2 linked regions of the Neurospora crassa OR74A genome follow. The main gene of each other region encodes a partner of the protein of the gene in region 2 in a complex. Links are inferred from orthologs where the notes say so. Each region holds a gene or a part of one and is shown on either strand. Other genes may lie near its edges.

Evidence for each region.
Region 1: the proteins of NCU00389 (region 2) and NCU01795 are in contact, whole or in part, in a crystal structure (PDB 4A9A), measured with the Saccharomyces cerevisiae proteins. The link is inferred for Neurospora crassa OR74A from reciprocal best matches to the Saccharomyces cerevisiae genes RBG1 and TMA46. Residues at the interface, in NP_009364.1 of Saccharomyces cerevisiae: Ser83, Lys84, Leu85, Thr86, Gly87, Thr88, Glu89, Val106, Ile107, Arg108, Tyr109, Lys110, Gly111, Lys113, Leu150, Val152, Pro155, Leu156, Lys159, Leu249, Ile252, Asp253, Ser254, Leu255, Ser256, Ile257, Glu258, Glu259, Leu260, Glu261; in NP_014734.2 of Saccharomyces cerevisiae: Gln217, Pro218, Lys219, Ile220, Thr221, Leu222, Glu223, Phe225, Ile226, Glu227, Glu229, Arg230, Leu233, Lys237, Leu238, Thr239, Pro240, Ile241, Thr242, Ile243, Asn245, Phe246, Trp249, Lys250, His253, Lys257, Lys269, Pro270, Thr271, Gly272.

The regions. Positions count from the first base shown.
Region 1 is NC_026502.1:2,385,092-2,396,162, reverse strand, and holds NCU01795 (zinc finger containing protein), read left to right. Parts: upstream 1-3,718; 5' UTR 3,719-4,054; coding exon 4,055-4,677; intron 4,678-4,733; coding exon 4,734-5,178; 3' UTR 5,179-6,221; downstream 6,222-11,071. Other genes in the region: NCU01793 (RNA binding domain-containing protein), read right to left, coding at 1-252, 312-476, 1,314-1,343, 1,405-1,635; NCU01794 (hypothetical protein), read right to left, coding at 3,094-3,264; chap (CDP-2- and HDA-1 associating protein), read left to right, coding at 6,736-8,394; NCU16553 (hypothetical protein), read right to left, coding at 9,450-9,779; serine/threonine-protein kinase nrc-2, read left to right, coding at 10,746-11,071.
Region 2 is NC_026503.1:3,676,109-3,686,915, reverse strand, and holds NCU00389 (developmentally regulated GTP-binding protein 1), read right to left. Parts: upstream 5,079-10,807; 5' UTR 4,932-5,078; coding exon 4,911-4,931; intron 4,831-4,910; coding exon 4,810-4,830; intron 4,517-4,809; coding exon 4,231-4,516; intron 4,145-4,230; coding exon 3,507-4,144; intron 3,385-3,506; coding exon 3,264-3,384; intron 3,209-3,263; coding exon 3,189-3,208; 3' UTR 2,706-3,188; downstream 1-2,705. Other genes in the region: NCU00388 (hypothetical protein), read right to left, coding at 6,096-6,674, 6,739-6,965, 7,024-10,807. UniProt on the Saccharomyces cerevisiae protein: Involved in ribosomal function.

The sequences.
Region 1 (11,071 bases), on a different chromosome or scaffold from region 2:
CGTGGTGCCACTCTCGAAGTAGTCAGCCATCTCAGAATCCAACTCCTCGACGGTCTTCTTGGCAGGGCGGGCGCTGCGAGGGCGACGGGGACCCTTCTTGCTGCCAGGCTTAGCAGCAGCAGCACCCTTGGGGGCGTTGGCGGCATGCTTGACAGTGGCGGCAGACTTGGGCTGGGCCTTGGGCTGTGTGATACGCTGAGTCAGGCTCTTGGGCTGAGGGATCAACTCGGCATTGGAAACAACGACCTCGACCTAGGGGAACGTTAGAAAAGCCAGAACCAGAAGATTCATACAATGGAGAATGAGCGTACCTTGACCGGGCGGTTGTCAATCAGGAGACCGTTGAGAGTGTTGTACGCCTTGGTAGCACCATCGGCGTGGTGGAAGGTAATATGAGCAATACCGCGGCTAGTGCCTCCGGGCCCATACGAAAGTTCCACCCTCTTGACCTGTCCAATAGCTTGCTGGAAGTATTCCTATCACAGGGTAATTCGTGGTTAGCGTCGTGCGCCAGTTTCAGTGTGGTCGTGTTCGTAACGGTTCGGTTTCAAATCGGTCAAAGCTAGGGCATTATCTCGAGCCGGCCCAAAACCAGGATATAGCCAGAGCAGCGCGCGTAATCTCCAGGTCAGCAACACCAGCAACTGGCAGGTGAGCCGAAAATCCAACACTCACTAGAGCCATCCATACGATCCGATGCGTCTGGGCCCACAGCCCGTAAAGCAGTAGGACGTGTGAAGGGATCCAGTTATGCCAGACAATCCAAGCATGGTCCAGTTGATGTGATGCCGTCCTCTCGTAGAATTCCCGAACAACCACGATGCTAGACCCCGGTTCCCCGGAGTTGTAAATCCCCTGATGGACCAAAACCCCCCAGAAATCGTCCAACCAGGACATGAGAAACAGAGCCTCGAACATCGCTCACTGCGTGGCGCGCTGGGGTGCAAAGATCGACTTCAAGGTGACCAGCCAGGAAGAGATGATGCATGACCCCCCAGCTAGGCTCCCATACAAGATTTGTCTGCCGGATCCTGCACTGCTTGTCCCTTTCCGAACCAGAGGCGCTTGCCAGCCACCACAATGATAAGGAGGGGAGAGCGTGACTGCGATCTGCTCAACTCGCAACATGACGAAATGTAATGACACACGTCAGGGAGGAGCAATCAACGGCAGTCTTGATGGCCTAGGGCCGATTTGCAATAAACGACCGTCCCGACCGCCCAGTGGAGAAAACGACGCCGATTGGATACGCCACGGAAGAGGGATGTCGATAAAAGTCCGAAGGCTAAATGGCCTCATCGGTAATAACATACCTTGATCTGGCCTTCGGAAACGTCCTTGGGCTGCGATGGGAGTTAGCGGTGAAGGATGCTACGCAGGAGAAAGCTGGAGGACGCGACTCACCAGGTTGCTCACGACAATCTTGCTCTCGCCGGTAAGACCAGCACTCTTTGCGGGCGCCGGCTTGGCAGCGTTGCGAGCGGGCTTTGTGTTCTTTTGGATACCGCCAGCGGGGGCAGCATTGGTGGGCTTACCGCCAGCCGAGCGGCGACCTCCACGGCCGCGGGCGTTGGACTTACCGCGGCGCTGAGTGGAGAGAATCTCGTCGAGAGACTGGTCGAGCTTTCCGGACATTATGGCGGTGGGTTGCTGGAAAGTGATTTAGAAGTGGTGAGAAAGACGAGACGCGTGGTCAAGGTGGCTTCAGAGATTAGGAAGCGCGGACGGGCTCAGATGCGCAGTAGAGCTGGCGAAGGTCGCGTTGGGCAGAAGAGTGATAGGGAGGTCAGGTTACGACTCGCTGGTAGCGCAAGGTCGCGTGAAGTCGAAGCGGAGCAAGGGTCGCGCTGCAACGGAAAAGGTGCAGCGACACTGTGATCTGATCGACTCGAATGGCAAGTGGAAATGGACGTGGTCAGGCTGACGAAGTTGGATGCAGTCCTGCGAGCAATGAAAAGAATATGGGTCTTGAGCGGATGGGCTGTATCGGTGATGGACTTTGGCTTTGGCGGTGATAGTAGGTTGTGTTGGGGAATAGGTGGTGTTGTTTGGGTGATAAAGTGGTGAATGGGCGAGAGAGGTGAACGAGGGGGGGGCGGAGGAGGGAGTAGAAACCGGTGTCCGCCCAGAATTTGAGGGAGAACCGACGGGGACCGGAGCCACCTCGCTGCGCTTTCGTCAAGGCTTGGCAGGCTGAGCAGGCTCCCGCCCATACACTACTAACTTGCGGCCACACGCGCCTGTCCTGAACAACATCCAACGTGACGGGATCCTTGCCGCACTGGCCACCCCACCGCTTTGGCTTCGCTCAGAAGGGGAAAGAACAGTCATGGCCAATCACAGCCTTGTGGCAATCGCTTTGGCTGATGGCACTCATTGGTACGCTAATCTCTTTGGGGCTAGACCCATCCCTCCTGACGCAGCTGGGCCGTTCTGTTATGGTACCGGTACCTGCGATGGCGGGACACATAGCCAACTCTCCGAGACGCGTCACCACTTTCAGGGACCCTTTGGAGCTGTGTGTCCTTGTTTATGGATGTTCTTATCCCACACACTCCAAGCTTCCACTTGCTTCTTCAGGGACGTTTGCAATTGAGCTCTTTCACAAGCGGAAACAAAGAACGACCCCTTTGCACATAACAAAAGAACAAACCATATTATTAGTCAGTCATGCTACCCAGAGCGCTTGGCACCCTTCTGCTACTTAACTGGTGACATGATACACCATGATCCGAACAAAAACTGAAATCCAGTGCAAGAGTCTGCTCCTATGCATTGGGTCAACCATGGGGTATCAACCGACTCTGACCCATTCAATCCTCCTCGGCCCGAAACCTCGTTACTTTCCTAATGCTATGTCCCTGTATTCCTTTTGTGATTCCGGGGTTCCCTTCCCTTGCATATCGGTTGCGCCCCAGACCAGCTCTGTCCTGCTCTGCCCTCAGTAGAAGAGAGTGTTCTGTAGGCCGTCTGTCTCCTGTCCTTCTCGGCCTCGCCCCAACCAGATGTCCCAAGGGCGGGACAAGCTGTATCGTGCCGTTTGTGAAATATAGTCTCTGTCTTCGTACCGTACAATTTTGCGGACGCTGTGTCCTATTTTGCCTTGGTCGGGGCCGATGCCACCTTTGTTGCCTTCTTCTCCTGGACAACATCGGTTTCGAGATCTTCGGCATTGGTTTCGAGGAAGTGGTGGAGAACAATAAGAACCATGGCCGCGCACCCGAGAACGATGGCGAGACGGTAAAGTTCGGCGTCAGAAATCATTGTGTCGTTGGCGTAGGAAAAGTCTGTGTTGGGTATTCGTTCGGTGCCGTAACTGGTAGCTGTAGACTTGTTGCGACTCGCAATGCTTGGAGGGGAGTTCAAGTGGGTCCAAAGGGCGCTGTTCTGCTGCTCAAAAAGCTGTCAATCAGACGGCTGGACAGAGACAAGAAAATGCCGTGCTCACTTTTTCTTGGTGATGCCAATCGCACTGGCTGTTCTGCGCCGGGAGGACCGCAAATTCGAAAGTGATGATGCCGATTGTCGGGTGTTATGGACAGCTTTCCACCTTGAGGGCCGCGACGCAGCATCGATGTATCGGTACATCTCCATCCGTTCATTTACAAGAGGATCCGATAGTCACGTGGACGGACCCAAGCTGAAGGAAGGACCTCTTCTTTCGTTAGGTATACCGGCTGCGCTGCCCGGACCAACGTCAGGGCTTCTGTGGGCGGACACCCCAGCGCTTTAAATCCCGGGCGGCGTCAGTGGGCCCATTCCACTTTGGTTAGAGTTGTTTCAACCCACCCACTTCGAATTGCCTCCAAGAAACTCTCCAGGAAGACTTGGTCGAGATCCCCGCCTTCGTCTGCAAATCTTTTGAAGGTCGCTGCGACAACACGCTCTATTTACAACCTACGCGCCGCCACCACCCCAGCTGCGACAGCGACTCGATATAACATACATACGTGATCCATTAACTTGCGCATCACGACACACACACACACACACACACACACACACACACACACAAACTCTACTCTCTGGTTCCCGATCGCGATATTTGCCCATCATGCCTCCCAAGAAGCAGGAACCGAAGGCCGCCGGCAAGAAGAAGGCTGTCGAAGACAAGACCTTCGGCATGAAGAACAAGAAGGGCTCTGCCGCCCAGAAGCAGATTGCCGCCCTGCAGGCCTCAATGAAGAACGGCGGAAACGCTGAGCAGAAACGCAAGGAAGCCGAGAAGGCGGCCCGTGAGCGCGAGAAGAAGGCGGCTGAGGATGCCAAGAGGGAGGCCGATCTGCTTCTCAACAAGCCCGCCCAGATCCAAAAGGTTCCCTTTGGTGTCGACCCCAAGACCGTTGTCTGCATTTTCTTCAAGAAGGGCAACTGCGAAAAGGGCAAGAAGTGCAAGTTTTCCCACGACCTGGAGCAAGAGCGCAAGGTCGAGAAGAGGAATCTGTACCAAGATACACGAGCAGAGGAGGACGACAAGAAGAAGCAAGAGACCTCGGCGGACTGGGACGAAGAAAAGCTGCGTTCCGTCGTCTTGTCGAAGAAGGGCAACCAGCGCACCACCACCGACAAGGTGTGCAAGTTCTTTATCGAAGCGATCGAGGAGGGCAAGTACGGTTGGTTCTGGATTTGCCCGAACGGAGGAGACAAGTGCATGTATAAGCATGCTCTGCCGCCTGGGTAAGTTGGGGGTTTGCACCATTAGCTTCTTCTCATAACTAACACCATCTCTGTAGGTTCGTTCTCAAGACCAAGGAGCAAAGGGCGGCTGAGAAGGCGCTGTTGGACAAGTCGCCTCTCAGGACCCTTACGCTCGAGGAGTTCCTCGAGTCCGAGAGGCACAAGCTCACCGGCACTCTCACCCCCGTAACACCCGAGAGTTTCGCCAAATGGAAGAAGGAGCGTCTCGACAAGAAGGCTGCCGAGGAGGCCGCAAGGAAGGCGAAGGAAGCGACCGGTCGTGCCTTGTTCGAAAGTGGCAACTGGAGAATGGAGGCCGATATCGATTCCGACGACGAGGGGGACGACGACGCCTGGAACTTGGAGAAGCTGCGGAAGGAGACCGAGGCCATCCAGATCAAGAAAGAGGAGGAACGACTGTCAGCTCTCCACGGTGTTCCTGTCACACTCGGCGAAGCGAAGGACGTCACCGGACTCAGCGAGCCAACGCTTGGTACATGAGGGCGTATCAGCACACGAGGAGAAAATACCAGCGCCGCCGCTTCAGAAAGTTTGTGCCATCCGAGAGTTCGGCACTTACTTGCGGCAAGGATCTGGCGCCAAGTTGATGAAGCTGCTCGAGTTGCTCGAGGCAGCTCGCTCAGAGGTTATCCGACATCTACATCACGATATATACACGAAGCTTCGAGGAGTGAAGCCGAGTTGCACCTCCACAAAGGAGCAGTGGGAATAATGTCGTCAGGTTTCGGTTTGGAAGCTCTGGTCATGAACTAGTCTAGCTCACACACATAATCATAGGCATGCCCGGATCCAGCACTTCGTTCCAAACTTCTTGCGTGTCTCACGTGTCTAGTCGCCTTCGCCACCAGCATTCATTATATGAACAGAGACGGACATAGGATAAATGGGTTCATCAGGACATGTCAGTTGTTATCTCCTTGATTCAGCAAGCCGTCCTTCTACCTGCACGTCCGTGACCCAGCTTGTTCGTCGGTGGTTCGTGGCTAAAGATTTCCTATCCAGAATGGGTTCAGTGTGACGGGACTGCAGCACATGATAAGGAATTCGAGGCATTGGTCTTGTACGTCGAGTTATTGATCCACGCATGGCTTGCAACCAATTTGTAGAAATACGGTGTGGCTGTCCGCAAAAACACTCACCACGACGCTTACGCAGTGACGGGGAAGGTAGACTTAAACCTAGAGCCACCCAAGTGTGGCCACATTGTCTTCAATGTGATGTTTGGGCAGCGAGCAGAAATTTGCTGTACATCGTTCACATGGACCGCCCAGGAAGATACAAGGGCGACGAACTGATACGTTTGATGTTTCGTTCAACACTAGTAGTCCCTTCTAGCAATTAGAACTAATGGGTGAACATTGGATTGCTTCTTGCACAGTCCAGTACTTGTCAGGTCTTCAAAAGCTAGTCAGACGGTCGGCGGTTTTGAAGACCTGGCGAGGAGGTACCATGAATCAGTCGTTGTTGTCCACACTTGTAGTTTCCTAAACTGCTTCAAAATGAACTCTTATACCGGATGGAAGGGAGTCTTGTAACATACACACTTAGTGAATGCAACCATAAACAGCGCTGCTTCCCCATGAATTCACCTCACTTACCTAATTTGAGGAAAGTTAACAAGTCCTCTGTAATTAATACTATGCACAGACCACTTTCTGAGCCGTGCGATTAGAAGTAATAGTTTCATTGCTAACATCACGTCCAGTCGCGTCAGTCCCTCATCAACCCACGCCCTCTCCTATAACCACAGGAAGCCGGCATTAGTTTGCCAAACCAGCCCTCTACACCAACCAAGATACTTAATATTTACTGGATGTTCTTTCAGTCCCCTAGTCAGGGACTTTCAAGTGGCATAACTCGTCAAATCATCAATCTCAGCAGTTAAAAAGGTGCGTTGAGATATTCTCACTTGTGGCAGATAATGCGACTAACTAGGCCCCAGATTCACTCTGTTGGATGACGACAATTTTCGTCCTCATCTCGCTTTAAATCTGAACTTGCTTTACTGCAAACTTGATCGAGGGAAAAGTGGAAAGGATGCCCTACGACCCGGACCTCTACCCGGATGACGACCCTATCGACAACTTCAATTATGATCCTAAGGACGATTATGATGAGCTGGGCGATGACTATGACCCGGATCTAGACCCAAACCAACAAGGGGATCACGAAGAGGACGTGGATGAGTTCTACGATGCAGAAGACGTGGAGGATGAACCATCACTACAAGCGCCCGTCAAAGTTCCCCAACATCCGAGGCGAGCTACGCTCTCGCCTTTGCAACCCTCAAGATCTGAGCGACATGCGACGCCAACATCGACATCTGTCCGCGATGGAACACCAAGGTCAGCTCGGGTCGCCGTCATGCTCCCGGTAAGCGTGAAGAAGGAGGCCTATATCAGTGTCCCAGATGTTGCATCAGACGAAGAGGAGGAGGAGGAGGAGAAGGAAAAAGAAGAAGATACAATGGTTGGCAGTTTCGTGACATCAGACCTGATGCCTCCCACTCCGAAGAGGCGAAAAATCACAGAGCGGCCATCGACGAAACCTACCCCCACTGTTCCCGCACCCAACTATGTGCCGCCGAAGGTTCAACCACCACCATTTCCGATACCAGATATTCCAGCACCAGTACCCCTGGTCAATCCAACAAAGAAACGAGGGCGGCCGTTCGGGTGGAGACCAGGCTTGTCCTATGCCGCAATGCGAGGAAATCCCGTGCCTCCCCCTAGACCCAAAGTTCCGAAACAACCCAAAGCGCCAAGCGAGGTCAAGCGCAGAGGCCGTCCACCCAAGAAGCCCCATGAGTTGCCTAGAGAAATTTTCTCCAAACTCACGCCCAGGTACATCCGCTTCCTCTGCGAATGGGAGGGATGCCCGGCCGAGCTGCACAACTTTGAGACTCTACGGAAACACGTTTTGGTCGTACACGGCGATTACAGACAACCTCACCAACACCATTTACTATCAGCAAGAGAACAACCACAAGAGCCCAAGACTTGCAAATGGGCTTCGTGCCACAGCAAGCGTCTCCAATCCGAGCTGCCACCTCTCACCCTACCCACCAGATCCCACTTCGAAGCCCACGTCAACGAAAGCCATCTGATACCTTTCCTCTGGCACGTCGGCGACGGCCCCCGCAACACCAGCATCGAGTCTCCCCTTTCCGAGAAGCCCCTGACCATAACATCGGCCCTCCCATCACAACCGTTATCGTCATCATCCATCTCTCACCTAGATGTTACCACCACCACTACCACCAACACCACCACCACTTCCACCGCCATCAAACTCCAACCACTACCACCCTACCTCTTCGACACCTCCGGCAACCAAGTAACCCCCTCCGTCCGCGACCAGCTTTACGAAAACGACGACGACAAACGCCGCCGCCGCGTGCGCCTGGAGCGAGTGCATTTCCTGAGAGACGAGAACGCAGCCCCGGAGCCAGTCTACACGCAAGCCGAGCGGGACGCGATGGAGGCGAGCTTGGCGGCCAAGAAGAAGAAGCAGGACGAGTTTTGGGAGTACTACGAGAAAGTGATGGGACCCGTGGTAGAGGTGACGGTGCTTGCAGCGGACCAGGAAGACCTGGAGGTCCCGGAGAATGCTTCTGGAAACCTAAGCAAGGAGGTTAAGAGGAAGATGTTGAGTTGTGGGTGGGATCCGCAGTGGAGGGGGTTGTACCAGGATTGATGTTTAAGCGGGAGGGCGAAGGGGGGATGAAGGATGGAAGGAGATGGGTGAATGTAGTTCTGGTTGCGTGTGTGTTGATGGGGTGGAAAGTGGTGGAAAAGGTAGGGGCATATTGTTTGTATACTTATGTACATTCACACCTTCTTAACATAGCAAGCGATACTCAAGTGCAGGGCTCCCAATGTTCGTAACATACCATAGGTTGCAGTAAGTTCTTGGTACTTTTTTTTTTTTGCCTTGATGTGAGTTGATATTCGCCTATAGATATATTTCGTGCTATTTGACAGCAAAGCTGGCTCTTGAATGATACGCAACCAGGGGTAAACTCCCCATGGGAGAGTGCCCAGGACTTGCATGAAAAGATGGACTTTGAGCGAAATGGAGCGGATGACGTTCTGGTTCACGGCCGAACACACTATTCAGCCACTAGACTACATCGAGACAATAATGTTACTTAGAGTAGACACAAAGCTGACCGAATCTCTTGCGTTGATGAATTTGCAACGTAAAATGAAACTCGAAGTACTTCCATGATGTCAATTCCGGAGAACCTTTTCAATTGTCGCAATTTTTACAATAGACTTATTAAGACGCTTGGTAGCGCTGGATATTTGTCTTTGCAATGTGACGCTTTGAAAGAGGTTTTTGGAGCGGGTACTTTGCGACAGTATGGAGATGCAGAGTGAAAAGCTTGGAGACTAGAGAGACATGTCGAAGATGAGGAAGAGCTAACTAGGTGAATTGGCCTATACCTCTATGCTTGGGTTCTTGACCTGGCTGGGACCTGGATATCAACCCCCACTCAGCGATGGGAATGTATCACGATACCAGTGCATGCGTACACTACATACACAGTCAGAGTCTAAACTAACTGGAAGGTGACAGACAGTAGACTGAGGAAACTTGATGAGTTTGGTCTTTCCGGGGTAGGCTTGGCTTCCCCAGCTTGACGGGGATCGGTCAACGTGGAACTTGAGGTTGGTTACTTGGCTATCTGGTTGCCTGCGTTAAACACCAATTCGGGTGATGAGTACCTAGGTAGTGTATAAACCTCGCTAAAAGCGACCAGATTTCGGACAGTAACTGCCGGGACGGGTTATGCTCCGAGCTGTCGCCAACGGGAAGTGCGCATATACTGGACCTATTAGATATTGTAATAAAAGAGGACTTCCATAGGTACTTGTCTCTGATGTCCCAGCCTTTCCATCATCCATCTGCAGGTCCTCGACAGCACTCGACAGTCTGGATCCATCAAAGACGTTGCCAAGCCCTGCGAGGTGTGGTGGACTGGTGGCGGCAAGACAGGGACCAAAGGATTGCGATCCAACAGAAACCAGTGTTTTTAGAGAAGGTAGTGTACGTAGAGACGGCTGGTACTGAGACATGATGCTCGGTACGCTAGGTGTTGCGAGGTTGCTTTACACGTCTTCGCTGCTGAGAGTTTGAAGCTGACCATGAGCCTCATGACGGGCCAGACGGGACGGGTTGGGGGTTTTGCCTTGCTGATAAATGCAGTTTTCAATGGATGACAGATGGCGTGCCATTGATGCCGAAATGACTGGACGAGAACCCTTCAACTTGGAAAGAAGGCGCAGTTCAAATGGTCGGGACTCCGATCGTTCTCATCGCTCCAGTCGGCGTGCGCCGGAAGGTCCCGTAACACTCCACCAACCTGAGGAATCCAGAGGAGACCTTGGAAACAGGCAGTCTCCTTGGAGTCTTTGGACACCATGATTCGACCTTCGGCCAATAAACCTGTACCTGTGGTTGCTGCACTAGCAGAACATCACCACATTAGAGTGCTTGCCAGCTAGCCGGAGGTACCTCTAAGTAGGCGGATGATGCAGTGGGGAACAACGCTGGTGTCACTGTGTGTTTAGCAACCAGCCCGTTGCACCATAGGTAATGGAAGAAACCCGAAGCGAAACAGCTTTCGCGGAGTGCCCAACAGCGACGCCTGCAGCCCCATTGGACGGCATCCTGGAAGTGGAAGGTGCCTGGCCGCCAGCATTCGTAAACAAGTGGGCACACACCCAGACGCAACTGGCTCGGTCCGGACATTTCTTGTTAGACTTGTCATCTGTTATCCACTCTGCCATCCACTCTTTCGACCTCCCTCTCTACGGGCCACTACCACCGGCCACCCCAGGCACTGCCTACTACCTAGGTACTGCTGCCACTCAGACCGGAGGAACTGCCAGGCCACCCGCTGCACCCAGCACCCTCCACTGCATTGGCAACTCGCGCACTCGCAGTCCAGTGCACGACCTTGGGCCCCCCCCGTCTTTCCCCCTTCCTCCCATCCACAAGTCGCATCATGGACTCGTCTTCATGAGCATTACATCACAAGGATGCCGTCCACAAAGAACGCCAACGGCGAAGGCCATTTCCCCTCGCGCATCAAGCAATTCTTCCGCATCAATTCCGGCTCCAAAGACCACAAGGACCGCGATGCCCACACCACCTCCAGCTCCCACGGCGGAGCACCACGCGCCGACGCCAAGACGCCCTCCGGCTTCCGTCAATCCCGTTTCTTCAGCGTCGGCCGCCTTCGCAGCACCACCGTCGTGAGCGAGGGCAATCCGCTCGACGAATCCATGAGTCCGACCGCACACGCGAACCCGTATTTTGCCCACCAGGGCCAACCGGGCCTGCGCCATCACAATGACGGCTCGGT
Region 2 (10,807 bases):
GAGAGGGTTACAGTGTCAGTCAGTGAGTGTCATTGATAATTTGAGGATGACTGATGACTTGTGAAGTTGATGAACCCAAATGGCTGAGTGGTTAATACGCCAATCACGTACAGAGAAGTTTGACTTGATCGACAAACCCGTAATTTACTTCCTTCTTTGCTTTGCGTTGAGGGTCTTTAGTGGTCTAACCTGTAAGCCAGATTTATCATCGTGTAGACAATTTCAACATGACTCTCAAACGGTCATTGAACATCGGAAACAACATCTTGGTATGAGGTTGTGAGATACCCAAGGGGTAGAGGCAAACACCACGACACCTTGTTGAGCGAAGGCTTGGTTGCGTGAATGTCTAGACAAACCCAAAACTTACAAAGAGTAAACAAGTTGGGGCGAATGACATGGTAATGATTGTCTTTATCGTTAGGTGACTATAAGTCCAGTATCTTCATGAACAGGCATAAACGTCTGTAGTGGCGTATAGTCTTTGAATGAATACCTCTGTTCATCATGCTGGAAAGGAGAGCAAAATGATCGTTACATGGTGATGTTGTCGCGCGCAATCTTCGTCATGCAAAATCTAGTGTGCAGTGGGGTGTAATGGAAGAGATGAATCCTCGCCATGGCTTAAGGGAGACACGGTTCAACTTGGGATCAGCGCCATTTATCAATCACTTGGTCTTCATTCAGAGTTGGAAAACCTGTTAGTTCTTCAGTTGGTTTGCTTTACCAGGAGAGAGAACTTCTCAAACATGTGAGTTTACAGCGAGTTGGGCTATATCACAGCAAGGCATGAGAACAAGAAAACACAACAGACAACAACAACATCATCATCATCATCATCATCATCATCATCATCATCACTGGATAATCACAACCAAAGTCCGCTGCAAAATCACTCACGTATACATCAGGGGGCTAGAATGGGTCAGATGCTAATGTTGAACACGGCATCTTGCATGGATGGGAGGCGTAACATGTACTGTGGACACTCCCTCATTGACACTCATACAAACCCAAATGGCATGCCACAAACACACAGCGGGTATCATTCGAAGTAAACAGTGAGTCCTTTTCTTTCTGTGGATCAAACCTTTATTACAACGCCCAAACACAACCTTAAACCATACAATACGTTGCACAATCTAGACACCAAGTCCGGCTCCCTCGCTTCTCTCACAAATACCCCGGTGAAGAATTTGGGGAAGGGACGACGAGGATTTTTCGTCCCCCACCAAGCTAGCACGCACCCTGCACTTTATGACTCACCCCATGCTGATCATATGGAAAGAGCAAGTGAGAGAAGATCAGCATGTAACTTGAGGTAGGATGGAAGCAAAGGTGACACTGCTGTGGCACTCTTTCTTGAAAGAAGCAAATTCACAGACTTGGGAAACACGTGCCCACCAATGCCCTCGAATGGGAGGTACGTTTGACGTTACTGAGAGGCCAGGGAAGGTGCGTGAAGACTGCCTGCAAGGAAAACAGATGTTTGTACCATCATGATGGCGGGAAGCTACAGATCGAGTCGACTCGTAGTGAATTAAGAGGGAAGGAGCGGTGAGAGACAGGACGATTCTGCTTTGAGTTGGGTTGGGGGAGAATGAAACGGGAATGGAACAAATATCAAAGGAACTTGAAAGAGAACATCGACTATAGAGGAAACGGGGGACGAAGGCTCGAGTGTCACGAACTGAGTTTTGTCGATGACATGGAAGGTGAAAGATCGACTTCAACACGTACATAAAACTTGCGACTAGTTTGACTAGGAATAGTTATCAAGAGAATGGCAGCATGACGTTAGACGTTGGAGTATCGGCTTGAGATTCTCTAACTAAATGCACTCAACATCAACCGACATACACACACGGTCGTGTACGATCTCCCGGTAAACTAGCGAGCCAGTTATTGACACATTCTGGTGTTTGAATCGATATTCATGTGAGAATTGGATACAAACATGTATCAAACCGTTCTGTAAACCATCAAGAAGGTAACGAACAATCTGCTTACAACTTGTTCACAAGAGAACTCGCGTTTGACTTGGCAGGCTTTTAGAGATGCTTAGACCTCGGTTCCTCAATGACTTCTTAGAACTCTTCACTTCCCGGTCCCCACCCACCTTCTCATGACGATCAGAGGATGGTGATATGATATATATACATAGAATGGGAAAAAGAGGGGGAAAAAAAACATGAAATAAAGTAAAAAGTTACGCTAATTGTGGGCACAAACACAGCACAAAGAAAAGACTTGAGAAGTTATCCGGCCCATTGGTCATTTGAGCACATCCGGTTACGACTGTTTTGCAGAGGTTGGAAAAATTACCCAGACTCGCTGTTCTGCCTAGTGGTTCGTTTCTGACGAACTTTAGTCACTCGGAAGAACCACGAAGGTAACCTGATAGAGTCAGGAAAAGTGTTGTATTAGCCAAGTACGCACAGTCTTGTTTGTACAATAGCGTCCATCTCATTACTCTTGGAAAACGTATAGAGAACGGGCATGGGAAATGAGTTGAAACAGAAAAGGAAAAGGGTAACGGAAAGCTGTCACTTGTCTTTATAGAGTCAGCCCTTGTCACCATTCCAGGATTTTCTAGGACATCTCGCTCTCCCCCTCCTCTACCCACCCCCCCAATGATCAACATAAGCCTGAAAGTGATCTTTTGGGCCTGGCTGTAGCCAGCACCAGAAACCCAGTCTTATACAGGGTAATCTCAACCTTTAAAAAAAAAGTAGGTATATACGTGATTTCATTACCGTCGTGACCTTGGCTCTCTAGATCTAATCCTAGCCAATATCCTATATAGCAGCCTTTTTGATCCCTTCATTCGTCTCGGACCCTTCCCCTCCTTTTTAACACTTTCACCAGCCTCGGGTCTCTTCACATTGTCCACAACTTGTGTCAATGGACAACCGCGCGTATAGTAGTGGAAGAAGCAATTTGGCTTCCCGTTCGGCACTTAAAGACCGAGTAAGCTCCTTCTATCGACCCCTTGGTTTATACTTACCATACCGTGCGCCATAGCAAGCGATCGAGCCCACATGAAAGTCTGCGTACGGCTCGAAGGTGCGTTGTCGATCAGGTATCGGTCAGTGTACGTGCGTTACCCGGGCCACCGTCCGTATTGTGAGTGTCTCGTCTCGTAAAAACCACAGCACATCTTTAAGAATCCTCTCCACGAAAATTCTTTATCGCTTGACGATGGTGACTGTTTTCATCCATTAGTCACAACCCTTCCAGCAGAAAAACATCCAAAGACATACCGATATCTTCATCAGCCAATTCGTGGCTGAGACCAACACGCTGAGGCTGATGCTTGACGGACTTGCCGTAAACAATAGCAACCTTGAACTGATCCACGATGGTTTTGTGAATAGTGTTACACTGCGGTTCATCAGCTGTTAGCTCACCTCATTCTCACCCCAGATGTTTCTTTTGCTCAATCAGGTGCATCAAAACAAAGGAAAACGAGAAAAAAACAAAAACAAAAGAGAAAAAAAACTTACGAAATCCTCAACCGTGCACCTATTGCTCCTCAACACAACGGGAGCCGAATAATCCGGCATCTTGCCCTTCGGCTTGGTATACACGCGCACGAGCTTAAGCTTCTCCCACATGGCCTCCATCAACTCGTCAATGTTCCAGCCGTGCTCAGAACTGATGGGGACCGAATTGGGAATACGGTACAGCAAGTCGAGCTCCTCGATACTGATGGCGTCGATCTTGTTGAGGACGTAAATAACAGGGATGTAGGAGCGCGACTTGGCCTCGAGCACGTCGATCAAATCATCAATAGTGGCGTCGCAGCGGATGGCGATATCGGCCGACGAGATCTTGTACTCGCTCATGACGGCGCGGATCTCGTCGTTGTCGATGTGTGTGAGCGGTACCGTGCTGGTGATGTTCAGGCCACCCTTGTCCTTCTTCTTGAACGTGATGTTGGGCGGCTCCTTGTTGATGCGGATGCCGAAGCCCTCCAGCTCGGCCTCGATGACGCGCTTGTCCGTCAGCGGCTTGTTAACGTCCAGCACGATGAAGATAAGATGGCACGTCTTGGCGACGGCGATGACCTGACGACCACGACCACGGCCGTCCTTGGCGCCCTCAATAATACCAGGCAAATCGATGATTTGTAGTGGGGCACCTGTATGTATGCAAAATGTCAGTTCAACCTGGACCTTGTTTGTAACGCTCCGGAGGATGAGAAGATGAAGAAAAAGGGCTGCCCACCGTTGTAGGTAACCTGACCCGGCACACTCGTAAGCGTGGTGAACTCGTACGCGGCCGCCTCAGAGTGCTGGCCCGTCAGTCTGCTCATCAGCGTACTCTTTCCGACCGAGGGGAAACCGATGAAACCAATCGAGGCCACACCGGTTCTGGCGACGTCGAAACCAGCACCACCGCCGCCACCGCCGCCGCCCGAGGGCGTGAGCAGCTCACGCTTGAGCTTGGCGAGCTTTGCCTTCAGCTGTCCGATATGGTAGGATGTCGCCTTGTTCTTTTGAGTTCGGGCCATCTATCGAAGGGGGAAAGAAACATATCGTTAGCCGAGGTCCGTCCTTGTTGCGTCGTTTCGTTCATCTTCGAGGGGGGAATCCGTTGGTAGTGTCTCATCGTCCAGGTCGCGCGCCTCCAGCTCCAGTGCCATGGCCTGAACAGCCTCTGTGTCTGCCTGCATCTGTGTCGCGGGGGCCAGCGCATCTTGGTCTCTGACCTGTCCAACTTCCTGTCCTCTCTCGGGGGTGTCGTATCGCATCGGGGCTCGGAGAGATCGAAAATCGGGGGCTGTCGGGGGCAGTTAAAACTCACTTCGGCCTCGATCTCTTTGATCTGTCATGGTGCGGCGGTCGCATTAGTTCCTTGTTCCAACATGTTCTCTAATGGGGAATGCGAGAGGGCGATATACGTACCTTATCCACCGTGGTCGACATGATTGCTAGCTCTCACACGATGGCGTATCTGTATTATGGATTGGCGACTATGATTGCTCGGTCGTGGCAGGACAGAGCGCGGTTCAGTGTTTTCCAACCTGGAAGTTGATGATGATCTTGATTGTTTCTTGGGAATTTTGAAGGTGGGGCAAATTTCATAGTTTCAGCGCCGCGCCGATGCGGTTAAAATCGCCGCAGCGCGGGCGGACCTGCGGACAGTGCACACACACAGGCCCACGGAAGCTCCAAGTTCCTTTCGGTTCCCTTCCTCAAGAGTCAACGCCCCTAGGCGGCCGGGCTTGGCCTTGGCGCCGGCGTTCCATTCCATGTTCCTTAATCCTTCCCCCAAAGCTCCGTACCTGATCATCTACGGTACTGTACACATGCCTACCATCGGGCTGACCCTCCATTACGCCGTCCCTTTCTCGACCGGACGGGAGTTCTTCGCTCGGGGCTGTTTCCACTTCATGCCGTGTAGCAAAGAATTTCCGTATAGTTCACCTTTCGCTCGCATGGTGGTTGGTTCCGGTTACTCTTCTCTTACTCGATACACACACGATACCACAGTCATCGATACTCGCACTTTCACCCGTCTGTTTTCCTTTCATCATTAACTATCGTCAAGTTATACTAATGGAAACCAACAAACAAACACTGACCTAACCAACAGCTATTCGCCACAACTCCATCCCATCCATACCACCGTCCATTCCAAATTCGATGCTTTGTGAATTCGATGCCCCCTTCAGTCCGAACTCGTCATGATGATGATGATGATAATGATGATGCCCGCCTGGTCTACTTCTCGACTGACGTCCGCATTTACGGGTTTCAAAACCTGACAAAGGCTATGTGACTGTTTGTACAAGATAGCACGATAATACCGTATCATGAACGCTAAAGGTATCTGCAAAAGTTGGGTCGACATGACATGACCCCCGACACCCCCATCGCTTCATCCTTTTCCACACAACTAACCCAAGTGATCTGCTTGACATTGACCGCTGGACTCCTCCTCATGACCTGTCCCGTTGGTTAACCTCGTTCAATACACAAACCAACCAAGCTCTCAGATTTGAGCGTAAGGCGTTCCTAGTTGATTTCGTCCCTGACAACCCAGTACATCTTGACATCGTAATAACTTTTGACACACATCGTAACCCATCAATCCTCTTCATCGCCGCTAAGCATTTCATGATGGCCGTTAAGCAGCGGACGAGCTTGCGCGGGTCCAGTCTCCGATGATGGCGATATTGGGTGATGCCCATGCGCGTGCCCGTTGACAGTCCTAGCCCTTGGCGATGTGATTCCATTCACGCGGTTTGAAGACGAGGTCGTGCTTATTGGCGATGCTGACCGGTGACCATTGGGCAAGACGTGCGAGCCTTGGGCCTCGCCCAACAAATGCCCAAGCCCTTGCTTTCTGCAAAGTTCGGCGTACTCTGGGTCATCTGGCCTCACGGGTGCTAGGCCGCGGCGGGGAACCCTCTCTTCCTCGAAAGGCATCTTGCTGACCATACCAACCTTCGGCCTCTCCTCCCAGATGAACTGGCCGTTGACAAAGTATTTGCTGCCGGGTGCAAAGCCATGATTTCGGCCCGCATCCGGGTCCTTCTTCCACTTTTCCAAGGGTCGGAAGTCTCTGAAGTATGTTTCATTCTCCGGAAGCTCGCGATAGGCCATCACAAGCCGAATGTCCCGCAGGTGAGGCATCGTAGGGATGATACGCAAAAAGTCAGAGGCCTCGTGAGAAATGTTAGTTGATACGCCATAACGTATAAGGCGTGGAAATCTGACGGACGCATACCTTGACAAAGAACATTTCCAAAGCAGCAAATTTCTCCCAGGCAGCACTTCGGAGCTTTTGCGTCACACGGTAGACGATGCTATCCGTGTCGTCGGTACCGTAGTATCCAGGGAGCTCTTTGCCGAGGTCGTAAAGATTCGGGGATGTCAGCGCATAGCGATCCGACTCAAGCTGCCAAAGCACGCGCTTGGCAATCTTTGATGCCGGTATCCTGGTCCATGAGTTGTCTACACCCAAAAGTCAGCATTTGGGAGCAATGTTCAATCCAGTACGGTGAAAACTGACATTTTGAGAGCCGCAGGTCCTTCTCTCCCAACAGCAGCGCAATCTGCGTGTTGAGCAACCACTGCTCTCTACCTTCTGGCGTCCCGGTTGCCTCTGGATCGATGCAGTCGTAACGAACTCCCTGCATGATGCTAAACTTTTCAGCAATCTGTGGAATCCTGGGATTCGCTGCGCCTTCCAGCCACCGAAGCGCAGGAGGTAGATTGGCGATGCGAATGACTTCCTGCTCGTGGCGTATTCTTCGCTCTTCTGCCTCCTGAGCAGCAACACGCTTGCGCTCCGCCTCTTCCCGCATCGCCTTCTCCCTACGTTCCTTTTCCTGGCGCTCCTCTTCCTCGCGCTTACGACGTTCCTCCTCGCGCTTACGGCGTGCTTCATCAGCGGCTTCCCGTTCAAGCCTTTCTCTCCGGACCTTCTCTTCATGCTCCAGTCTTTTCCTTTCCTCCTCCTCTTGTTCCCTTCGTTTCCTCTCCGCAGCCTCTTTCTTCTTCTGCTCCTCTTCCTCTTCCCTTCTCTTCCGCTCACGTTCTTTCTCACGTTCTCGTTCGCGTTCACGAGCCTCCTCTTCTTCACGCTGTTTCCGTTCCTCCTCCTCCTCTCTTCGTTTCCGATCTTCTTCTGCTTGTCGCTGTTTTCGCAGTTCTTCCAGGCGTTGCCTCTCCTCTTGAGCAGCACGTCTGGACTCGTCCTCGAAGCGTTTCCGCTCGCGCTCTTCGTCTTTGCGCTTTCTCTCCTCCTCTTTCCTCTTCAATTCGCGAGCTTCTGACTCCATTTCAGCTTGCTTCTTTCTTATTTCTTGGAGTTTCCGCTTTTCAAGCATCTGCCGTGTTGATTCTTCCTGGGCGGCATGATCCGCGTCTCCCATTTCCACCTCCCCGTCTTCGGATTTGACGTGGATGCTGGGTTCGGGGATGGTGGGCTTGCCGGAGTCAAAGCGAACATGCTCTGAGGTGGATTCTGACTTCCGGGGCTTTGAGGTTGATCTCCTATCTTCGTCATCTCTGCTGCGAGATCTGACTCTGCCGTCAGGTGGTGCAGCAAGACTGGATTCCCTGGACACAGAAGGCTTTAGGTGACGATCCTCGGCTGAGTTGGGCTTAAGACGCCTGTCCTTGCCTTCAACGTCCAACCGTCTCTTTTTAGAGGGAATTTCTGAGGGATCCTTCTCTGTAGACCCAGGGTGTGGCGGGGTTGCACTGGCCCGGTGTCGCTTGCCGGAACTTTCACCAGAAACAGATGATCGATCACGGGACTCGTCCCTTCTGATAGCCTTCGTCCGGTCATGATACTTCTCCATCATCTGAGGTTTTTCACACTCATCTCGTGGACTAGACGGCTGATCTCTAAACGAAGAGCCATTTGATGTGACAGAGGCGCGGCGCTGCTTCTCACGCTCGCCCTTGAGCTCCCTGCCAGAAATCAGCTTCCGGCGCGGCTTTGGAGTTTCTCCCTCGGATGATGCAGCGGCGACATCATGATCTGCACGTTTGGCTTTGGTAGTGACTCTTCCTGCGGGTGATGCTTCGCGATCGGAAATGGCAATGGTTGGAATCTTGTCGTCTTTCTTGGGCCGGCCAGGGCCGCGCTTGGGCGATGTCTGATCTTCCTGGTGAGTGGCAACGGAATCCGAACGCCTCTTCTCCCGAGGACTAGCTGGAACTTTCGAGGGTCCCGTTTTCTTTGCTTCTTTAGCAGGGCTTGAAGCTTTTCTCCGATGGGACTTGGACGCATCTTCCTTGATCTCGGTTCGTGTGCGCCTAGGCTCGCGGTCCGTCTCCCGGGAATTTGACAGTCTTTGGCTCTTGGCATTGGAACTGGGTTTCTTTTTATATTCGTCGAATGCTTCCTTCAGCATATGTTCCTCTTGCATCCAGTTGGGACCTCGTCGCTTGCGTGCAATCTCATAGTAGGTCTCCCCCTTGTACTTCTTGGTGGGATCGAAATTGGCTTGGTCCAGGAGCAGCCGGATGACCTTGATGTTTTCTTGACCTATGGCGGCGAGAATGGGTGTCGAATATTCGTTGGTCGAAATGGGTTGTGGATCAGGGTTTGCACCGCCTATAGCCAACAACAACTGCATTACCAGATCGTGACCACCACGAGCTGCAGCCACCATGGACTCAGGATCGTCGAACTGGTCCCTAACCTGAAGAATCCGTAGGACTGTCTCCTCGTCTCCCTTAGCAGCGGCTGCACGAAGCGTCTTGTCATCCATGGGCATGTAAAGTAGATGATTGCTGGTCTTGGTAGCGCGAACGGTACCGGCACGTCGTCCACTAGACGGGTTGATGGAGGCGGAGGCAGGTGACTGCCGAGGACTATCCGGACCATGGGATGAGCGTGTATCCGTGGCGTGATCGAGATGGTGGTCTTCAGAGGTCGGCCGACGCTCACCCATCCTCTGCTTTGCTTCGTTGATGGCGCGTTTGATATCGTCGGCATTGTCGTGGTCTTCATTAACCCGGTCAATAGGCTCCTCGCCATATGCGTTGGCCTTGCGCGGGTTCACTCCGGCATCAAGCAGGATCTTGACGACCTCATAGTGGCCATTCTCCACTGCATCTATCAGCGGCGTGTCCTTTTCGTTGTTGAGGCAATCGAGGTTACAGCCAGCTTCGACAAGGAGTTTCACAATATCGTCAAAACCGTTAATTGCAGCGATCTGGAGGGGAGTGTTGCCCGCATAGTCGGCAACGTCAATGTCCTCAGGGCGTTCCTGCAGCCTTTGCTTAGCGACGTTGTATTCGCCCTTGGCACAGGCTCGGGCAAGGAAGGTCTGGCCGTGGGCGTCTAGGTGCTTCTTGTGCGGCGCCATTCTGCCAGCGGGCGAGTGTGTGAATTCGGCGGCGGCCGGGGTAGCGAGACTGCGCAGTTTGGAGCTGCGCGGATGAGGGCTCCCGCGTTCCGAGGACTCATCAGAGAAATAGTCGGCCGAATGGAGGGGGACAGGGACGCGGCGCTTTTTCAGGCTCAATCCGTGGGCAGTATGACCAGGAAGCTGAGTTGAGATGCTTCGACGGTGAGCTCGGGCGTGGGGGGAAACCGATCTGGTTCGTGTGGAGGCGTGCGGTTCATGATGGGATGAAGACTTGTTCGGTGGAGGAGGATGGGGTCTGCGGGAAGCGTCGAGGCCAGAACCTGAAGTGCGCTGGCGGCGGACCTTGGGAGGCTCTGCCTCGTCGTCAGATTCGGCCTTGGGGTGCTTCCGCTTATTAGGCACGACTTTGTTGTTATCGAGCGATTTGGGCGGCACCGGCTTGTCCTGTTGTGTAGACTGTGCTGGCAGCTTGGAGAGGGAATCCACCGGGGCGGGCTCGGAGTCGGATTTTGAGTGGCCGTTGGACGAGCGGCGACGACGCTGGGGTGGGGACTCTGGCGCAGAGCTCAATCCACTCGATCCATCCTTGGCCTTTGCCTTGTCGGGAAGCTTTCTCTTCTTGGCCCCCAGCGCCCCCAGCGAGGAGGAGCCCACTGAGCCCTCATTGGAGCCATTAGGGCCATTACCTGCGACCGCGACGCTCCTGTCAGGTTTTTCGCTACGATCGCCTCTGTCGCTCTCACGGTCCTGCTGCTGCTGCTGCTGCTGCTGCTGTTGTCTGCTGCTGTTGTGGTTAGCGTGCTTGCGGTGCGACGACACCACATCGTCGTCATCGCTGCGATTGTCGTTTTGTTTGATGATGGGCTTGCGGACTTTGACAGGCGAGTGATGGCCGTCCTTGCCCGGCAGCACAATGGTTTCGGCGTCGCTGTTTCCCTCGGCCGTCAAGGAGTCGTCGTGGTCCTC